4 linked regions of the Cricetulus griseus genome follow. The protein of the gene in region 1 interacts with the protein of each later gene in a pairwise test. Links are inferred from orthologs where the notes say so. Each region holds a gene or a part of one and is shown in the gene's direction. Other genes may lie near its edges.

Evidence for each region. The genes of interacting proteins can lie anywhere in the genome.
Region 2: the proteins of Nrip1 (region 1) and Rorb interact in a two-hybrid assay, tested with the Homo sapiens proteins (2 studies listed by BioGRID). The link is inferred for Cricetulus griseus from reciprocal best matches to the Homo sapiens genes NRIP1 and RORB.
Region 3: the proteins of Nrip1 (region 1) and Cib1 interact in a two-hybrid assay, tested with the Homo sapiens proteins (2 studies listed by BioGRID and IntAct). The link is inferred for Cricetulus griseus from reciprocal best matches to the Homo sapiens genes NRIP1 and CIB1.
Region 4: the proteins of Nrip1 (region 1) and Esr2 interact in a two-hybrid assay, tested with the Homo sapiens proteins (2 studies listed by BioGRID, with this or other methods). The link is inferred for Cricetulus griseus from reciprocal best matches to the Homo sapiens genes NRIP1 and ESR2.

Annotation. Positions count from the first base shown.
Region 1 is NC_048597.1:18,833,740-18,838,725, forward strand, and holds the start of Nrip1 (nuclear receptor-interacting protein 1), read left to right. Parts: upstream 1-1,688; 5' UTR 1,689-1,818; intron 1,819-2,172; exon of another isoform or gene 2,173-2,777; intron 2,778-4,986. UniProt on the Homo sapiens protein: Modulates transcriptional activation by steroid receptors such as NR3C1, NR3C2 and ESR1. Also modulates transcriptional repression by nuclear hormone receptors.
Region 2 is NC_048596.1:42,062,073-42,066,944, forward strand, and holds the start of Rorb (nuclear receptor ROR-beta), read left to right. Parts: upstream 1-1,700; 5' UTR 1,701-2,368; coding exon 2,369-2,375; intron 2,376-4,872. UniProt on the Homo sapiens protein: Nuclear receptor that binds DNA as a monomer to ROR response elements (RORE) containing a single core motif half-site 5'-AGGTCA-3' preceded by a short A-T-rich sequence.
Region 3 is NC_048596.1:117,372,326-117,377,274, forward strand, and holds the start of Cib1 (calcium and integrin-binding protein 1), read left to right. Parts: upstream 1-1,777; 5' UTR 1,778-1,883; coding exon 1,884-1,934; intron 1,935-2,064; coding exon 2,065-2,099; intron 2,100-3,601; coding exon 3,602-3,710; intron 3,711-4,949. UniProt on the Homo sapiens protein: Calcium-binding protein that plays a role in the regulation of numerous cellular processes, such as cell differentiation, cell division, cell proliferation, cell migration, thrombosis, angiogenesis, cardiac hypertrophy and apoptosis.
Region 4 is NC_048598.1:127,301,871-127,306,800, forward strand, and holds the start of Esr2 (estrogen receptor beta), read left to right. Parts: upstream 1-1,758; 5' UTR 1,759-2,366; exon of another isoform or gene 2,367-2,562; 5' UTR 2,563-2,641; intron 2,642-4,930.

The DNA of each region.
Region 1 (4,986 bases):
TCACTGGGAGAGATAATATGTATCTTAAAATGTACCATCACCACTAGCCAAAATATTCCTGACATGGGTTCAGGACTGTGCTAGGATATCGCTTTATTAAGAATTAATTTGAAAAACTGCTTTCGCTTTCAAGATTGGGAAGGCACTCTAGACCTTGCTCATTTGAAAAATAGCCGGCTGTATAACTATTACATAACAGTAAAGAATACAGTTTGATCACTTAGGTCATCTTTGGTTTCTATGTGCATCAGTAACTGTTTCCAAATGCTACCAAAAATGCATGACAGTAGATACCTTCATCCACAAATTTGTCTTATCCAGTGAGTATTTTAACGCAGCCATACCACTTTACAGTTCAGGGTGAAGTGAAAATGTACTTCAGTTTTTTGTTTTTTTTTTTATGTCAAATAAAACCAACTTTTACAACCACTCTTTTTCCGCTGGTAATTCTTTTCATGGAGAGATACTAAAGTGAAAAGGAAACGTGACATCTGGGTGGGGAGGGGCGTCAGAAGGAGTCTTCACAAGTAATGTTCGCGAGGAGAGGATTTTAAAGCGGAAAACACGAGAGGGCGAGATCATGGTTTCTTATTATTCTCTCCTCCCTCCACTTTTTCGCTTCACCAATCTGTAGCCCCCCTCAAATTTAGAGGCGGGTTCAGCAAGACAAGGCTGCAGGAAACCCAGGTTTCACTGTACTGCCACCCTGGCTTCGTGATGTAATTGTTATTTATTGAGACTCTGAACCGAGCACAGCTGCTTAAAGAGGTGACAGCCCATCTCCTAGTCCTGTTGGGTCAGATCCTTCCTGGGGGTGGTGCAGATGGCCCGACAGACCCTGCTGGAGACTTCGCAGTGACAAAGCAGCTGAAGATAAACCCGGTTCCTGGGTCCTGCGTCCGTCTAGGGAGCTGAGCTGGGCACTCCTCAGGTCTCCTTCCCAGTTTTCCGCTTGGAATCACGCCACATTAATTACTGGGTCCTACTAGGTGCTGTGGGCATGGGGTCAAAATGACCTAGAGTTATAGCGCCGTCCTTCCTGATTTTAAGCGGGACACAGATTTCTAGGAGGTGGAAATTAGGGTGGGTAAAAGGCAGTCAAGAGAACGCGTGCTGTGGGTGAAATGGGAGGAAGGGAGACCCTTAAGGTGCCAGCCCCTAGGTGGAGACCCCAGGGAAGGGTCAGGGTGTCTTTATTCCTCTGCGGTGCTCACAACGCTTGCCCAAGCCTGGGTGACATGGACGATCACCTGGTCCCTAGGGACAATCTGTCCAGGCGGCTGGACGGGGCCGGAAAGCCAGGGCTCCTGCTCGGAGAGCAAGGCACCCCCCTTTCCCGGTCGAACTGTGTCCTCTCTCTACCTTCAAGGCCGCGCAGCCCCGGGTCTCCCACCCGGAGCACCGGAGAGGAGGCCTGCAGGAGCCGGATAGGCTCCCCAGCTCCAGCGAGCCGCCGGGTACGCGATCAACCCGGGTGACAATGGGAGGGAGGGGCAGAAAAGGGTTAAGAAACTTGGCTGAAGAGCTGAATGGCGTGGAGCAGCGAGGGGAGGGACCCGGCCGCCGCGAACTCGGCGGCGGAGGGAGGAGCGCGGCTGCGGCGGGCGGGCGGCGAGCGAGGCGCTCAAAGTCAGCCTCGCAGACATTGCAGCAGAGCCCCGAACTCGGGAGGCGACGGCGATCGCGGTGCAGGCGGAGGACGAGCCGGCCCCAGCCCGCCCGTGCGCACCGCCCGTGGCCTCGCGCGGCCGCAGGGCACGGCTCACCCGGGAAGGAGGGAGCGACGCGGATCGGCGGCCCGGAGCCGAGGCGGCCTCGGTGAGTGGCGATCGCGGCCCGGGCTCGGTGCAGAGCTGGCAGAGCGGACGCCGAGCCACCCGGGCACGGCCTGGGTGACCGGCCCGGGGAGGCGGCGGAGGCCGGGGAGGCCCACGGGGGACGCCGGCCACACGGATCCCGGGGACAGCTTGCCGCCGCGCCCGGCTCCGGGTCTCCCCGGGAACTCGCGGCCGCCCCCCCCCCCCGCGCCGACGCGGCCGCCAAGTTGTAGAGTTCCCAGCCGTGGGATCGTCCGTGCCAGCCGTGGCGCGAGGGGCGCAGCCTCCCTGGGTGTGCTGAGCCGGGACCCACGCGGGTGGCCGGGTGGCGGGGCCCGGGTCGAGCCCGCTCGGCTGCTCCTGTTGGCCCCGAGCCCCGGGCGCTGGCTGCTGCGCCGCTCGGTCCTGCCGCCCAGCGGTGCCCGCGGTGGCGCCCGCGCTGCTCCCCGCCTTTAGTTGGTGCCTCCCTGCGCGGTGCTCGCCGATTCCCGGCAGGGAAAAGTGACTCGGACAGGGACAGCGCTGAGCCCCAGGCCCGGCCTGCTGGGCACCAGGTCCCCGCCTGCCGAGGGAGGGCGAGGCTCCTTGCACCGGAGGCCTCAGCCTAGTTTTTCCCCAGCATCCGAGAGCGGGCTTTGCGTTTAGTGTGAGCCTGCTGAAGTCCTCGGAGACGCTCTTCTCTCTTGTGCCACTCTCCTCCTTACTCCGGTTTGAGGAAACCCTCGTCCGTGGCAACACTCTCCGGACCCCCACCCCCATCCTTCCCAAAGTAGTTTCCAAATTTTAATCAGGAGTTGATGTTCAGACTGAAGGAACAAAGGAATCCACTGTGTTTAAAAGGCGGACAGGCGGTGAGCCTGACACATGTTGATCTCTGAGGCATTCCAGGAGTTTCTACCTTCCATCATGTCAGTAATTTAATTGGATTCTGGCGGTCGTAAACGAAGAACAGAACGTTAGGTAATTTTATGTTAAGATACTTTTTAAAAATTAGTGTGTCATTTTAGTTGGTGGTAAAGTCCCTACGTTCTTAGGTGCAAGAACTTTTAACTCATTTTTGTGACATCAGGCTTGAGTTTGTCTGCTAATGTAAATGATTGTGACACTGAGGGAAAACCGTGTTTTAGAGGAAGAGAGAGACTGTCTCAAAGTAAAACAAGATCGGTGTGCCTGCCTGTCTGTGTCTGTGTACACACCTATACATGCGTAAATGATGTATAGTCTTCGTATTTCCTGGGTTTTGTAAAGCAAGGGGCTTCAGGAATTCATTCTTTAAAGTTATGAATTACATTGAACCTGCTTATTAGTGAATCATAGGTTTTACCAAGTGGGCGGCACCTTCCCGATGCTGTTATTCAATGTTCAGTCACCAGTTTGCCACCTTTGTCTAAGAGACAGTGAAGTAAGTCTACTTTTTAAGCAAACAGTGCTTCATGCGCATGGCCCCTAAATGTGGCTGCTGCCTGGGTGTGTTGAAATGTCCTTTTACTTCCAAGTGACTTAGTTGCCCTGGTTTTGCCCAGCAGTTTGGTAATGACCATAGGGTTTAATTGACTCAGGGAGCCTGGCTTCAACACCAATAGGAACTTTCTAGGCTTGGTCTTACTTAGTTCCTATAGACAAAGGAGAAGCAGTAACATAGCAGGCACTACTGCTTAGTCTAGGACTGGATACTTACTCCAGGCCACTTTGTACTCCGGTGGGGAGATTTCTTTGCAAAGTTAGCCTGCAAAGTACAGGAGGAGCTTGAGGAAAACAGGTAAGAAGTAAATAAGGAGGGCAGTTAGTTCGGTGGCTGCCTTTACACAGATGAGAGTCCCTGTGCTGCCTTTGAGACCGTGGAACATCAGGTTTAAAACCCATGAGAAGCTTGAGAACCTGTGTTTTCCAAACTTTGTTAAACTTGTACTTTTCTAATTGAGCTATCCGGAAATATTGTGAGTTAGCAGTGGAGAAGTGTTTGTGGCTGAGGCTAGGGCTGCTCTGGGTCCTCCAGTTTTAAGAGCAAAACATTGTGATAAAAAATAACCTATACCACCACCTAGAGTCTGCTTGTTAGTTTATGGCTCCTGGAGTTTGCTTACATCCATCCCCAGGTCCCTTATGGTTGCTGCATGGTCCAAACATGATTTGAGAAGTTGAGGCTTCCTAAAGGCTGTCCAAAAGAACAATTACTTAAGTCATAAACAGCAAGGGCCAATTTAAATTATCCACGCCACCTTCAGAATAGAAAATTATGACATATCAACTCAAGTGGGCTGGCCTCCAAAAGATATTAATTCAGAAATGTAAGGCAGAGCCTTCTAAGCGTGAGCTTTAGGGGTGGCTGTGACTGCTAAAAGATTTTCTGTTTTCAGAGATTCAAGAAATATTACGAAATAAGTGTTCTCAGTACCTTTTGTGGTTCTAGGGAAACAAAAGCAATGATTAAAAAATATAGAGGGAGGAGTATTGCCACTACAAAATTCTAGACACTGAAAAGGTCAGAGAGAATGTAGACAGTAGTTGAATTGGGGTTCAACTATGTGAGAATCAGGCCATGTGAAACAGAGTGATTATCTGTCCTGCTGGTGGTGGCTATGCAAGAGAGCAGTCTGTTGAACAGGACACCTTAGGGAGGCAGCCTCTGCCATGTGGCGCAGCACATTGTCCAAGGAGGAAGTAATGCTCCTCCTTGTAACGTGTAGCCTAAAAGATGGCCTCCAAGATCTTTAATTAAATATCAGTTGAACAGAGAGAACTAGAGCACTGGATTAATTCTGTCAAACATCACTATTTTAGAACATCGAGGACAACTGAAAATGAATTAACTCATATCTGAAAGCAGAGTTTTATCGAAGGTGACAGATGAGGCAAAATATGTCAGTCTAATGGAACACATGGGGAGATGAGGATAGATCTGCCATCCTCGGCTCTCTAGACAGTTGAGAGCAAAGCAGGCTATTATTAATTGTGTAGATTTCATCGCCAAGCCAGTATAGAAGATCATGGCCTGGAAATCATTTTAAATCAGAGTGGCCTAGGATCTATGAGGTCAAAGGTCTTAGATAATTTTTATTTGTAAGCCTGAAAATTGTGAGCAACTTCTGTCTTCCAGAGAAGCAGTAATGCTTTGGTGTGTGAAGTTAAAAGATCATCCAGCTAAAAATATGTTTAAGACGTTGAAGTT
Region 2 (4,872 bases), on another chromosome or scaffold:
AAAATTAAAATGATACAGTCACAATTTGTTTCTTAACTATTTTATATGCAGTAATTTTTAATGAAGCAACTAAATTAGGCATAACTTACTGCAGCTTTAATGTAGTTATGATGAATATATTTTACTTGATTAAAACTGATAAAACCAGGGAGCCTTAAATATTATCTTAAAAGATTAACTACTGTGTCAATTAAAAATCTAGGAGAAAGGTGTTTGTGAGGAATAGCTATCCTGAATAATACCTTCCTTTTGTTCGTTTCATTTAATTAATGACTCAATCAACTTTTCCTGTTTCCACAAAATGTTCCTAAATTACACATGGGCTTGCAAATGGAAAGGCACACAGAAGTGTATTAGCTGAACACTGGTGAAGAGTCAAGAAGTGATTCATTTCTTATTGGAGGGGCAGGTAGTTGACAGTGTATACAGAGGACTGAACACCAGCCATTCTACAACATATTTTGTATTACAGAAAGTAGAATGAATAAATACTGGCAAAAAAAAAATCAAGTTGTTCCCAATGGGTGTGCTATTGAGTCCCGTTTCTATGCTTTCTAACTGAACAATCAAGCAAACTTTTGCACTTCCAGTCTTGCTATGACCGATTAAGCAAATTATTAAAGCAGTCCCTAACTACACAGAAGAAAATTATGATGCCATGCATCGATACAATGTGTTTGCTTCATCGACAAAGAAGGAAACTATGCAAAGAAACACTTTTGGTAAGTGTGATTCATTTTTTTTTCAGACTGCAAGTAAACTGTCATAGGTGACAAATTTTATCTAAGGAATGCAAGTAGCACGACGATTGTTTTAGTGTCAAGCTCCCCTAAATGGGTGTCTCTGAAGAGCAACCAGCCACGTGTCTTGCTCTTTAAACCTTCACCAACTGAATAGAATCCACACTGTCTTGCCTTCTATTCTAGTCTAGCCTCTTTGCCAAGTGACCTATCACTGAGGTGACCGAAAAGCCAAATGAGCCTGTCCTTAAGTCCTGCAACCAGGGGTCAGAGGATTTCCAAATGCTGAAGAAGTCCATGTCCTTGACAAAGGAACCTGAAACTAAGGAGAAGGGTGGGGTGGGGGGAGAGTGAAGTAGTAAAGGAGAGAGAAGGGAGGGAAAGGAGGGAAGGAAGGACCAGAGACTAGCCAATTAGAGTGAAGAGAGGGGAACATTGGAACAGTCTCTAAAAGAAGCTGCCTGGAGCTAGAGGGGTGTGGTTTTGTAGTCTACCTCTAAAGGCTGAAGCGTCCTGCCACAGTAAAGCCCTGCCAGAGGAGCGGACGTTATGGGACTCTTCAAAGCGCTTCTGTAAATACGAAACTCTCCAAGGGCTGTGTGAGAGAGGGACTGTGTGAGAGAGGGCTGTGTGCAGCCCGGCGGGTCCCGTGGGCTCCTGCTTCCAAAGAACTACCCAGTGTCCCTTTCTAACTACTGGAGTCAGAAGTGCACGTCCCTCACAGATCTGCCTCACTCCCAGGCACGCTACACTCGGCCCAGATCCGACCCCAGATAGGACCATCTCTAATTCCCAGTCTGAGTCCCCGCAGCCTAGGACACCGGAGTCCGCGGCCCCGCCCCCTGTCCTCAAGCGCGTCCCCTCCCCCGCCTTCCCAGCCTTTCCACGCGCTGCGGGGCGCTGATTGGCCGTGGCGCTGACAGGAGGCGGGGCCAGGAAGTACGGCCAAACCCGCCCTCGCGTATAAGCCTCTTCTGCGCTCGCTCTCTCCACCTCTCTCCTCTTTCTCTCTCGCTCCCTTCCTCTCTGCAACTGAACAGTGAAAATTCACATTGTGGATCCGCTAACAGGCACAGATGTCATGTGAAAACGCACATGCTCTGCCATCCACACCGCATTTCTTTCTTTTCTGTTTCCTTTTTTCCCCCCTTGATCGTTCTCCCTCTTCTTTGTAACTAACAAAACCACCACCAACTCCTCCTCCTGCGGCTGCCCTTCTCCTCCTCCTCAGTCCAAGTGATCACAAAAGAAATCTCCGAGCCCGAGGCGGTGGCATTTTTTTTTTAAGCAAGCACATTGGAGAGAAAGAAAAAAGAAACAAACAAACAAACAAAAGCAAAACAAAACCCAGGCACCAGCCAGCCAGGACATTTTTTTCCACCCTGCCTGAAAACAAACAAACAGCCATCAAAAACAGTCATCAGCAACAACAGTCATCAAAACTGTTAGCTTAGCGGCGGCGGCCACCGTCACGCTGTGGCCACGACGTCTGCCTGAAGGGATGCTTCTCTCGGCGGAGCAGCTCTTCTCAGACCGCCGTCTTCCCTCGTGCTGAGCGGGATTTTTGGGTTCTCTGGGGTTCGGGCTGGGAGCTTCATGACTACGCGGAGCAGGACAGCGGCCACACCATGCGAGGTAAGCGAGCCCACGGGCACCCAGGGTCCCCGAGGCCAGCCAACTCCAGCCAGACCCGGAGCTGGGGAGGGGGGAGGGGAGCGCTCTCGGCCCAAGGGAAGAGAGGTTTGCTGTGAGCAGCTCCCCTAGTTCGGTTCGCAGGTGGGACTGCAAATGGCCTGGGCTTGGAAAGTTGTGGGAATGTGTGGAAGGCTCGGGACTTCGGCAGGACGCGGGAGGGCGCTTTTTGGAGACCGGGACAGCGATAGTCGCTTCTCTCAGTTCTGGACTTGCTCTCATCTTTTCTGCGCGTCACTCTCGGGTGCGCCACAGGACACGGGATAGAGGAGAACAGGAAGCAGGATGACTGGGTAGAGGCAGCTGGAAGCCCGGGTCACGTTGTAGTCGCTGGCCGGAGGTGAACACTGGGCCAAACTGCCAGACTCAGGAGCATCCCAGTCTACAAGCGCGTACCTTCTCAGGAATAGTAAACATGGGATGCTCCCGGAAACTGGACGCAAAAGCCTATGGCAGGACCTTCCCGGGTTCCCCTTTTCCCTTTGCTCTTCGCTCTGGCTGGGTCCCTTCCCAAAAAAAGAGTTGCTAGGAGAAAGAAAGTTCAGGAGACTTAAGGCTATGTCTGAGATAAAGAACCGTAGTGGGAGCTAGTGCTAAGTGCACCTTCTGTCCAGGGCCCCTGCCACCAGCAGCGGTGCCACCTCAGGGCAAACGATGCTGCCCAAGTGGCCCGCGGGGATGACAGAGAGGTGTCCCCTGCATAGCTGAATAGGTGGGCTTCAGGAGTCAGTTTGTAGATCTCCTCTCCTGTGGCACAAGTTGCTTGCACTCTGTCCGGGACTCCTCCTCTCTCGCTTTACAGTGGGACACAACTTCCCTCTCTTCTTAAAGAAGCCACTGGATGCCCTCCTGACTTGGGACATCTGAACATGTCGGGACACTCAGCCCCAACATCCGAGCGTCCCTTCCTTGGTGCATTGCGTTCCTATGGGGGCTTTTCTCTCGGATTCACAAGTCCCTCCAGATCATAAAAACAGAAATAGGCGACAGTCGAGTCTCCGAACCCTTCTGCCTCCTGGATAGAAGTGCTTTCAGCAGGACACATTTCGAATAGGGCCCACAAATACCAATCTTCAACCACCCTGCTTCCTGCTCCCATGCACTAACCCTACTCCCTTTAAGGGGGAGTGGGCACGACCCTCACCCTGATCATCCTCGAAGAACTCTAGTCCTGGCTTGACCTCAATGGCATACAGATGCTGGGGCCACCGCCTTGGAGCCTGGGCTCTGTAGGACAAGGCAGGAGGAAAGCGATGGAAAAAAAGTTGCCCATTACCCATGGGTATAGGACTCCAGATAAGTGACAAAGGTGTCTTGGTGAGTGTCTTGATTGACACTGAAAGTTAGGATCACAGTGTGTTTGTGAGCAGTGACAAGAGCTGATTGTCCCAGTCACGGGATGGTCACATGCTCCACTATCCAAATTCTTTCAAGAAATTGTACTACAGGAATTGGTGGCGAGAGCTCCTTTACTTAGTGAGAAACTGGGTTTTTGTTTATCGTTTTCTGCCCCACCTCACCATCTCACACTCTTTCCTTTCGGTTTCCTTCGCTCCCAATTGAAACTGCCAACTAGGGGGTTGGCTTTTTCTTCCGCTCCAACAATCCCCCTCCCCCATGGCTAGGTTCAAGCTACCTGAGGGTCAGAAACCAAGTGCCACTGCAGTTGGTCCCCTGAACTAATCCTGTAGCCAAGCTACAAACCCCTTAAGCCTCAGAGAGGCGGAGCAGAGCGCGGCTTCCTTGCGCTTACCTTGACCTGCTGCTTCTGCTGCTGCTCCCATAGGAGACCCCTGGCTTGAAGGATTTAAGGCAAGGGCTAGTCCCCAGTGTGAACCGACAGACACCTTTGTCTTAGAGAAGATCAGGGTGACCAAGCTGCCCAGGACAGTTCACTAGGTTTAATCCAAGAAGACTCCCCTGAGGCAGCCTGAAGGGAAGTTGGTAAAGAAAAAGTCTGGGTCTCTCTGATCTCTTACTGTCCCATCCCACCTTCGGCTGCTTGCTCATTAAAGATGAAATAAGAAGCCTTTTGGAGGTTTAATGCCCAATATTCCCCCTGGGGGTGGAGGGAGTGTAGAATGAGACTATCCAGAAGTCTTCTAATAGTTGAACTTGAGTGCCAATTAAGACTCGAGACAGAAGAATCAAATCATCTTTCCCTTGCACAAGGCTGCTAAGCAGACCATTGGAACAGACTCTGCTGGGGGAGGAGCTGCCGTGAAACTTGGCTTTGCCCTTCGCCTGTGAGCATGCTATCGACTCCTTACACCATGCTTGCCCCCACCACACACACTGTCTCCCTTCTCAAATGGTCCTTTCAGAGCTTTGACTTCAAGGTTTGCTTCTGGCAATGGCAACTGTCCTGAGTCAGGTCAATTTGCCAGACACAAACAGTGTCTAGGATGGAGCAGTCTCCCTGTGGGTCAATCAGCAACCT
Region 3 (4,949 bases), on another chromosome or scaffold:
CAGCCTGGTCTACAAGAGCTAGTTCCAGGACAGCCTCCAAAGTCACAGAGAAACCCTGTCTCGAAAAACAAACAAACAAACAAAAAGAATGAATCTGTATAATGGATACTGGGGATACAAACCATACTCCAGGGCGGGCTCATGTCCAACACTTGATGGCCAATTCAAAACCAACTCAATAGTATTTTGGGATATTTCCTTTTTTGTCTCATAATGCTTTGTTTGAGCTTTTAAAAAAATTATTGGTCTTTTGCTTATATATCATAGTTTCTGGGTGTGTGTGGGGGAATGAATCTATATTAGGTTACTCTAGAGCAGTGGTTCTCAACCTGCAGGTCTTGACCCCTTGGGTGTTGAATGACCCTTTCACAAGGGTCTCTTAAGACCATTGGAAAACATAGATATTAGCATTACAACACATAACAGTAGCAAAATTACAGTTATCAAGTAGCAACAAAAATAATTTTCAAGATGAGGGTCACAGCATGAGGAACTGTATTAAAGAGTCAAAGCATTAGGAAGACTGAGAACCAGTGCTCTACAGGAACAGAACTGGTGAATATACATTAAACGGGGAGTTATTAGATTGGTTTACTCAACATGGTCTGGGCAGACAAACAATGCTAGTTGCTTAGTCCACAAGGATGGGTGTCTAGGCAATTCCAATCTGGTGCTGAAGGCCTGGAGAGTTGCTGAAGAGCTGCTGGCCTTTAGTTTGAGCTGGTAGCTGGAAGAGGCTGATTCTAAAGTTAGCAAAGGAATTCCGTGGTGGCAGTAACAGGATAGACGTACTTATCAGCAAGCGAAGGCAAACAGGCCAAAAGCAGTTTCCTTCTTCCGTTTCCCTTTTGTACAGGCTACCACTCGAAGGCACTGTGCACATTCCCAATTCAAAAAATCTAGACCACCAACATTAACTGTCACAGAATGCACCTTTCCTTCCTCCTCCCAGCAGCTTGGAATCCTCGCTTTTTCACGTAGTGTAAATTTGTTCATTCGCACATGCATCTGATAATTACTTGGATGTCCTGGAGGTTAAGCGGAGAAAAGAGCAAATAAGCAGACCAACCTTAGTCTCTACAGCTGGAAGCTTGCATTTTGTGGAAGGGGTCAAAGGAGGCAAGTCAGCTGTCACGATAAAACAGCAGTAGGGATCTGTGGACAGGACCGACCTCTAAACGCCCGAGTCCTGACACATCACTAAAACTGGACTTAGGTAAAACGGAAGCCTACCTTGTCAACTGTTCCACGAATGGACGATAACTGCACAAATCCAGTGAGTGCTCAGTAAACAGCTTCAAGAGGCAGCAAGCTAAGCTACTTCTGGAAGAGTCGGCAAGGTGGCGTGGCTGCAGCTCGTGTCCAGTAAGACGGTCTGGGACTGTCCCTCTCGGCCGAGGGGCACCGGATCTCCTCCAGTCCCGGAGTGAGTCTGGAGGTTAACTGCCCCTACCCAGGACTGAGGTCTCCAGCACCTGCTCTAGGTGAGGCGGATACATCTCAAGACTCCACAAGCAGACGCATCCTGGAACACAGGGAGGAGCGTGGTGTCCCCCGACGCAGGCGCAGTCTGCACCACGTGCGCGCGGCGCGACTAGCCACGCCCCTCTGGAGGCGGGGCCGTGCGGCCTGGGCCCCGCCCCTGCGCGTCCGGCTCCTCCCCGGGCCCTGCCTCCAGCTCGCCTGGGCCCGCGGGGAGCCGGGAGCCGGCTGGCTGAACCTTGCCAAGGGTGCCAGGGCACTGTACGCAGGGGCGGGCCCGGGGGCGGAGGCCCGGCAGCGGTTGCTGTGGGAACGGGGCGGGGACGCGGCCCCGAGGACGGAAGTGAGAAAGTTGCCGGAGTCCCGGGGAGAGTTGGCGGAGCTGTGCGCGCATCGCAGCGATGGGAGGCTCGGGCAGTCGCCTGTCCAAGGAGCTGCTGGCCGAGTACCAGGTGCGCGGGGCTCCAGTTCTCGCGGAACTCGCGTGCGGGCCCGCGCCGGGTAGTGGGGTTCGGAAGCCGGCGGCGGGGAGGCCGTGGATTTTGGGCGGCTCGCCGACCCTTGTCTGGATTTGTCTTTCAGGATCTGACGTTTCTGACCAAGCAGGAGATCCTCCTGTAAGTGCTGTCCCAACCCCCGTCCCCCGCCCTCCACCGCGGGATTGCGGGGGGGTGGCCTTTGGGGGTGCTGTCCTAGTGGGGGACGGACTGGCCACCTCTCCTTTGAGGATGGGGTCGGGTTTCACAGAAATCAAGATCAGCGGATCTGGAACCAGAGGCCCGGAGTGCAAGTTTCGCCTGTGCTTGGGCCTCCGCTTTGCATCACGCATACACCTCCGTGTATTCAGGAAAAGCTGGGCTGTTTAAGCCCCTCTGGCCTCCTCACTGCAGAGCTTCCTGCTATCTTCGGGAACAGCTGTGGCTCTATACGGACTTTGCCCTCTGGCAAAAACTAGAAGCCTTGAGGCGCCTGGCTCGCTCTTCCAACTTTACCTGTTTAATGCAGTAACCGTTAACGTTTACTGAGCCTTATTCTGCTCAGGAACTACTGTGTGATTCCCACATTACTTAAATCTTCAGGAGGAGATTACAGAACAAGGAAACAGCTTAGAGGGTTCTGGTAACTTGCTTATAAAGCACACTTAAGTGATTTGATGGCCAGGATGCTTGACCTAGGGAGGTTCCTAGTCTCCTCAATGAAATTCCACTGGGAAAGAGGTGGTAGGTGAGAGAAGGGGTTGAATTTCCTGGAGTTGAAATGACATCGTGTTTTTGCCGCGCCCACCCCCCACCCCCACCCCCGCCACTCATTGTTCAGGGTCACTTACAGCTCCTTCCCTAACCTCTCTTTAGGAATCTTTGAAACTGTTACTGTAATTGTTAGGGTCCAGGAACTTGGTCCACAGGAAATCCTAACTAGCTAGTCTGGCTACCTACCCTCAGTAGGCCAATTAAGGGGAAAATATTCAAATGCAGAGAAACGAAATATATCCAGTGTGGCCACACAGGGAAAAGTATCAAAGAGGTCCAGTGACAGGCCCCCTCCCTCAAGTCAATTTTCATGCCCAGCTGATGTGAGGTTTATATTTAAACACAGGGCAGGAGCTATGTGTAACTAAGCAGTCTGGTCAAGATGTGGTGTCTCCATCATTGTCTCAGCTCCATTCTCTTATGAAAGGTGACCTGACAAGTTATTGGAACTGTGTGAAATCTCTTTCTGGTAGACATTTCCTCCTTGGCTGACACCAGACTTCATCCTTCTCACAATATGAGATTACTGGGGAATCTTGGGGACCACTGATTCTATAGTCTGATAGCCAAAGGGCAGGGTACAACTATCTCTAGAATATCCTTTTCCTGCCAGAACAGTGCCTGACAGTGTCTGCAGACACACATACTTCCTCTCCTCCATAAATACCCACCCTAAGAAGGGACTCCAAGCCTCTGCTACTTTGTAACTTACCTCTCTTTGGCTGAAGTTTGTCCAGTGACTGGAAGTCCTGGTTATGTGACTTAGTTATACACCTGGTTTATATGGCATTCAAAATGCAGACTGGGAATGTAGGAAACAGGGAGTCTGACTGACTGAAGGCACCAGTAAGTCCCCCTCTCTCTGCCAGAGCTCACAGGCGGTTTTGTGAGTTGCTTCCCCCAGAGCATCGGAGCGTGGAGGAGTCGCTGCACACCCGAGTGTCATTCGAGCAGATTCTCAACCTTCCAGAGCTCAAGGTTCAGTCCTCCATCCATTCTACCCTCTTCCTACTTTACCCTGTCTCTGCACATGTGACCACACCCTGGGTTTATTTTGATGATGATGTGTAATTGTTTGTGTGTGGGTATGTACGTATGTAAGTGCCAGTGCCTGTGGAGTACACAAGGTGTTGGACCCTCTGGTGCTGGAGTTACAGGTAGTTGTGAGCTGCCCATCATGGGTGCTAGGAACTGGGGTCCTCTATAAGAGCAGTACAGGCTCTTAGTCACTGAGTCATCTCTCTAGCCCACTCCCCTCTTTAAAAATAGCAGTTTGGGGGATTGAATGTTTAATGGCAGGCAGGCACTTTACTGACTGAGCTAACCCACCACTTCTTTTTTTCTGATATGGGGATTTTACTAGGTTTTGCTATGTAGCCTTGACTGGCCTTGAACTTGCTTCAATCCTTTCCCTACCTTCTGAGCACTGAGATTATAGGCATGCATTACCTTGCCCAGATTGCTATAGATAATAATCATAATATTACTACTATTATTTTGAGATAGGGTCTCACTGTGAAGTCCTAGCTAGCCTGGCTGGAACTCCCTGTGTAAACCAGGCTATCTTTGAACCCTTCAAGATCCACTTGCCTTTGCCTCCTTGGTACTGGAATTAAAATTATGAACCACAATGCCTGTCTGAAATTTCTATGCAAAGAGCCTGGCTCTGTACCAAAATAATTGTTCAATTAAGGATATTTAAAAATGACCAGCTTGGCCAGGCATTGATGGCACACGATGGCACACGGCCTTTAATCTCAGCAATCAGGAGGCAGAGGCATGAGGATCTCTTGAGTTCGAGGCCAGCCTGGTCTCCAAATCGAGTGCCAGAATAGGCTCCAAAGCTACACAGAGAAACCCTGTCTTGGAAAACAAAACAAAACAAAAATGACCAGCTTGGTCCAGCCAACTAGCTTACTTGCCTTATAAGCCTGGGGACCTATGTCTGACCTCTGGAACCTATGGTAGAAGAGACTATGGAAAGTTATCCATTGACTGCCATATGTGTATGGTGTGCTCACACATGTGCTCATGTGTGCATGTACACAATTATAATAATAATTGGCTCATCTTGTTGCTTTGCTTAGGACACCTTCCTTTTCCTGCTATGACTCCAGTTGTGATGTGCCTGAGATAGACTCCCAGGGAGCATCTCCAGCCCTTCCCTGGCTGGTTTAGTAGGTCCTTCCTGAACCCTCCATGTCCTGGCCTCAAAAG
Region 4 (4,930 bases), on another chromosome or scaffold:
TGTGAGTTCAAGGCCAGCCTGGTCTACAGAGCAAGTGCCAGGATAGGCTCCAAAGCTACACAGAGAAACTCTGTCTCAAAAAAAAAAAAAAATTGGGCTGTAGGTAAGCCTGTGGGCTATTTCCATGGCTAGAGGTTGATGTGGGAGGGCCCAGCCCATTGTAGGACAGGTGGTACTGGGTTGTATAAGAAAGCATCCTGGAGCAAGCTAAAAGGAGCAAGCCTGTAAGCAGCACCCCTCCATGGCCTCTGCATCAGCTCCTGACCTGACTTGACTTCCTCTCTTTATGGACTATAACTGTAAACTGAAATAAACTTTTTCCTCCCTAAGTTGCTTTTGGTATTGGTGTTTATCATAGCAATGGAAATCTAGTTAAAACACACACACCCGAAAGTAGCACGTAGTTAAATGGCCAGTAAGCGATCTCTGTGTATAAAAACCACTGTTGCTACTGGGTGTGTTCTTTTTTTATGTCTTTTTTAAAGATTTATTCATTTATTATGTACGTAGAATTCTGCCTGCATGTATCCCTGCAGGCCAGAAGAGGGTACAAGATCTTATTACAGATGGTCATGAGCCACCATGTGGTTGCTGGGAATTGAACTCAGGACCTCTGAAAGAGCAGCCAGTGCTCTTAACCTCTGAGCCACCTCTCCAACCTCACTGGGTACATTCTTATCTTGTAGCTTCATATTGTGGATGTAAGCTCTGTGAGCCTCCAGTCCTTGTCGGGAAGGTGGGGCCAGTATTACCTGCCTCTCAGAACTGGTATAAACATTAAATGAGCTGCTGTGCAGTCTGGCTTGCTATACATACTCCATAGATGCTTTCTTTATCCCCACTCCACCTTTACCTGCCTCTTGGCTCTTGATTGACAGTGCTTCACTGATGTTCCATTCCAGGTGATTTTTAAAATTAAGAACACATTGTTGTTCGTATGTAATAATACATTGTGGGTGTGTAACATGTTGGTTACATCCAAACAGTCGAGGTTGGCATTGTACAAGTTTCCCTCAAAATATCCCCTTGGTCTCCCTCTGTTAGACCACCACCCACCAAGAACCTTGTCCTGAGTCTGGAGAGACACCCCAGCTGTTGAGATAGCATAGTCCTCTTGAAAAGAAGCCTAAATCTGGCTAGGTGGTGGAGGCACACCCTTAAATCCCAGCACTTGGGAGGTAGAGGCAGGCAGATCTCAGTGAGTTTTAGGTCAGCCTGGTCTACAAAGTGAATTCCAGGAAAGCCAGGACTGTTACACAGAGAAACCCTGTCTTGGAAAACCATTAAAAAAAAAAAAAAAGTCTAATTCTGTTGTCAGCACCCATGCCCCAGGGCTCACACCCTCCTATAACTCCATCTCCAGGGAATCCTACACCTATAGTCTCTGTGGGATCTGCTCGCATGAGCTCATGCCCACGTGCACATAATTAAAAAGATTAAAAGGTAGATCTTTAAAACCCTTCATAAACATGTCCCCCGCGCAGTGTGTGGATGGTTTGATGACTGATTAGGTACACATGTGACACCTCGTTAGCCTACAGGTCATTTGGTTTCCTTTTACCTTTTCCCATCAGTGGCTGCCTTACAGTCAATTATTTCTCAGAGACTAAGATATGATCGCAATCTTTGCATAGTAGGACCACTTCCAGATGAATGGGGAAGGTTGACAACCTTCAGAGCTGGGAGAATCAGGGCTGCCGTCAGGGGGCGCCAGAGACCCTCGCCGCCACGGTGGGAGGAGCCCTATAAAAGCGTAAGGGGCTTTTCTCCAGGTGAATTCCAGGAGGCACCCGAGATCCTGGACCTAATCCAAGACTTTTTTCCCCTTCATTCTCTCTCCTCACCCCCGCCGTCAGACTCTGAGAGATGAGTATCCACGCTTCCACCTTCAGCCGGTGGCTTTGCCTTTCTGGGGATCAAGCTAACGCTCCCTGCAAGGGACCTATCTGGCTTCATGACTCCGTTATTACTGCCCCTTTCGATGCTATTACCCGAACCCAGGGCCTGGTCCACGCTTCTCAAGGATAGTTGTCAGACTTAAGCGTTTAATGACATCCGCTTGGGTCAAAGACTGGAGACAGGATCAAGTGTGGACCCGCACTGTCAACTTCAGAATCCCTGGGGACCTGGTCAGAAATGCCCATTCTCTCGGTCCTCCATTGTCAGTCTCTTGGGCAGGGAGGGGGCGTCCCTAGTGGGTGGCTGTGAGATGGCTGGAAGTGGACATCCAGTGGATGTGGAGGCGCAGCGCCGGAGTGCCGGAGATCTCCAGCTCCGGGTTCGCGGTCACGTGGGCTCTTCAGCTAACCACCCACCCCCTCTTCACCGTCTTTAAAAGGAAGACTCACTAACGCCGTTAGTCGCGGGTAATCTTTGCAGCCTCTCCAGCTGCTGGCCTTTTTGAAACCAACTCCCAGGTCCCTGTCTCTTGCTAGGCTTCTAGAACCACCCCTTGAAACTTCCCGGGAGTAGAGGGGGGCGGGCGAGGGGAGCCTGGCCGGGAGGGAGCTGCTTGTGCTGCGACTGGCATCCTTGGCACCCGGTCTGAGTAGAGTCTGGCAGTTCCAGCTGGGCTGAACGGCTGCTGTGAGTTCTGCGTGGGGACCAAGGAAAGCACGTGTCTGCTTTTAGAGAATGCCAGGTAAGTGCCCTTTGGCTCAGAGTGTGGTTTCATTGACTTTGTGTGGATTCCTGCAATGGGAAGCCAGCAATATTTAGAACAATAAAGGGGCAGAAGGATGGATGCAACTGCTTGGACACCACTGGAAACAGAAATTTTGCTGACTTTTGGGTTGGTTGTGTGAATATAACTGTTTTTTTTTTTTTTTTGGAAAAAAAAAAAGAAAATTCCCGTGGTTTTCTTCCGTGGATTCCTGGTGGTGGATGAAATGATGAAGCTTTTTGCCTGAGTATCGTGGACCAGGGAAGATGTGCCTATTTCAGGCCGGTGATCACGGCTTGGTCATGGTAGTCCTTAGTCATGTCAGAAATAGATTTATCTTTTCTTTCTGGGTAGTCTCAGATACGTTAAATCTGATCTCTCTTATTTGCTGGAGAGGAATCTAACTGTTGCTTCTTCACGATTACCTGTGATAACTGTTTCACAGTGGAAGCAGAAAATTGGGTCAAGTGAATATTGTTTTTGTGTGTGAGAAACAAAACTTTGAATTTGAGTGGAGCTCTGTTCAGAAAGGAAGCTTGTTGGTAATTCTTACGTTTTAGAAGGCAGGTGTGTTTTGCGCAGCAAGCAGCACTCCAGAGGAAGGAGTTTTGTTTTGTTCTATTTCAAGTGTTTCCACTTGAAGTTTTGTTTCTGCTGTAATGATTCCACTCATGGTGATATTTCCTCTCTTTCCCTGTAAATGTTATTTAAAAAGTGAATGGGAAGATTAGACGGCAGCTATATGGGGACAATGAAAAGAGTGTGATAAATGCTTAACTCACTTTCTTCTCCAAGAAAGCCTGTAGAGTGGCTCACACCCCATGACATACCTTTATCTCCAAAAATATTTACATTACGATTCATAACTGTAGCAAAATTGCAGTCACTAAGTAGCAACAAAAATAATTTTATGGTTGGGGTCCCCACAACATGAGGAACTATGTTACAGGGTCACAGCGTTAGGAAGGTTGAGAACCACTGCTCTAACAGACGTTCTGTCTGAACAAAGTAAAAGGTCACTAAGTGTTAAAGCAGAAACTTTAGCATTCCATTTTATGTTCGGTGGTTTTCTGGAGGAATCTGAAATTCTTATTTCAAAACCAGTGTTAAAAGGAACACTTTTAGTCTTGCTCAAGATATCTAAGTGTTTGAAATAAACAAAAAACACATGTAGGGCCATTTCAAGGAGGGTTTAGGAAGCCAAATGGTTCGAGTCAGAGTTGACATTCCTCAGAATGGATTTTTAATATACAAAGGTAAAACTCGGTACTCAGTTCAACCTATCAAATATATAATTTGCCTTTAATGGGCGTTATGCCCTTTGTGAAGACTAAGTCACTGTAATTCAACAGGCCATACCTTAAAATTTATTTCATGATAAAATTTTAGTTGATGTTTCTAGTCATTTTATGGAATATATTAGGAAATGATTACATAAAATTCTGAGGAGTAAACATCAATCACTTGCTGGTAATTTTTTGTTGATTGTATGCAAAGCCCTTGAAAACTGAATGCGTGGGTATTAGGTCTCATAATTCAGTGTTTAGTACATTGTGATAGACATTTGAAAAATTATGCTTATTGCAGTCTTGTTTACAGACAGTTGAATTTAAGCTTAAAAAAAATACCACCCTGAGGGTTATGATAGAGAGGGATTAGCTGTCTCTCATTTTGGAAGATACACATATAGTTTTAAAGAGTTTCATGTAAGTCAATTATTAGCGGTCAGTTTTATGGTTATTTTAGAGTAAGTTTCTTTGTTCCTAACTTAAAATTGATTGGGGACCTTACTATTTTGCTTTGGAAAAGATACATGTGAAGGTAGTAACTGCTAAACAGAAACAGCAAGAATGCTTGGTGCTAAAAAATGTGTACCTAATGGTCCAGGGATGTGGCTCAGTTGGCAGAGAGCTTGCCTGGCATGTGCACAGCCCTGGCCTCCATCCACAGCATTGCATGAATCAGGCATGGTGGTGCTTGCCTATAATCCTAGAACTCAGAATATAGAAGCAGGAAGACCAGGGAGTTTAGGCTGCATAACAATTTTCAGGCCAGCTTGGGCTACATGAGATTGTGTCTTAGAGGAAAAAAAAAGGAGGAAGAAGAGAAATGAATTTATATGCATTTTTCTTGTCCAGGAAACTCTTTCTGGTGAGTGTGAGTTGGAATAGGATGCTTGTGGTCGGGGAGGAGGATGGACAGACAGGTGGAGGAAGAATGGAGGTAGCCTGTCGAAGTTATCCACATCTGCAGGCCCAGGATACGGCA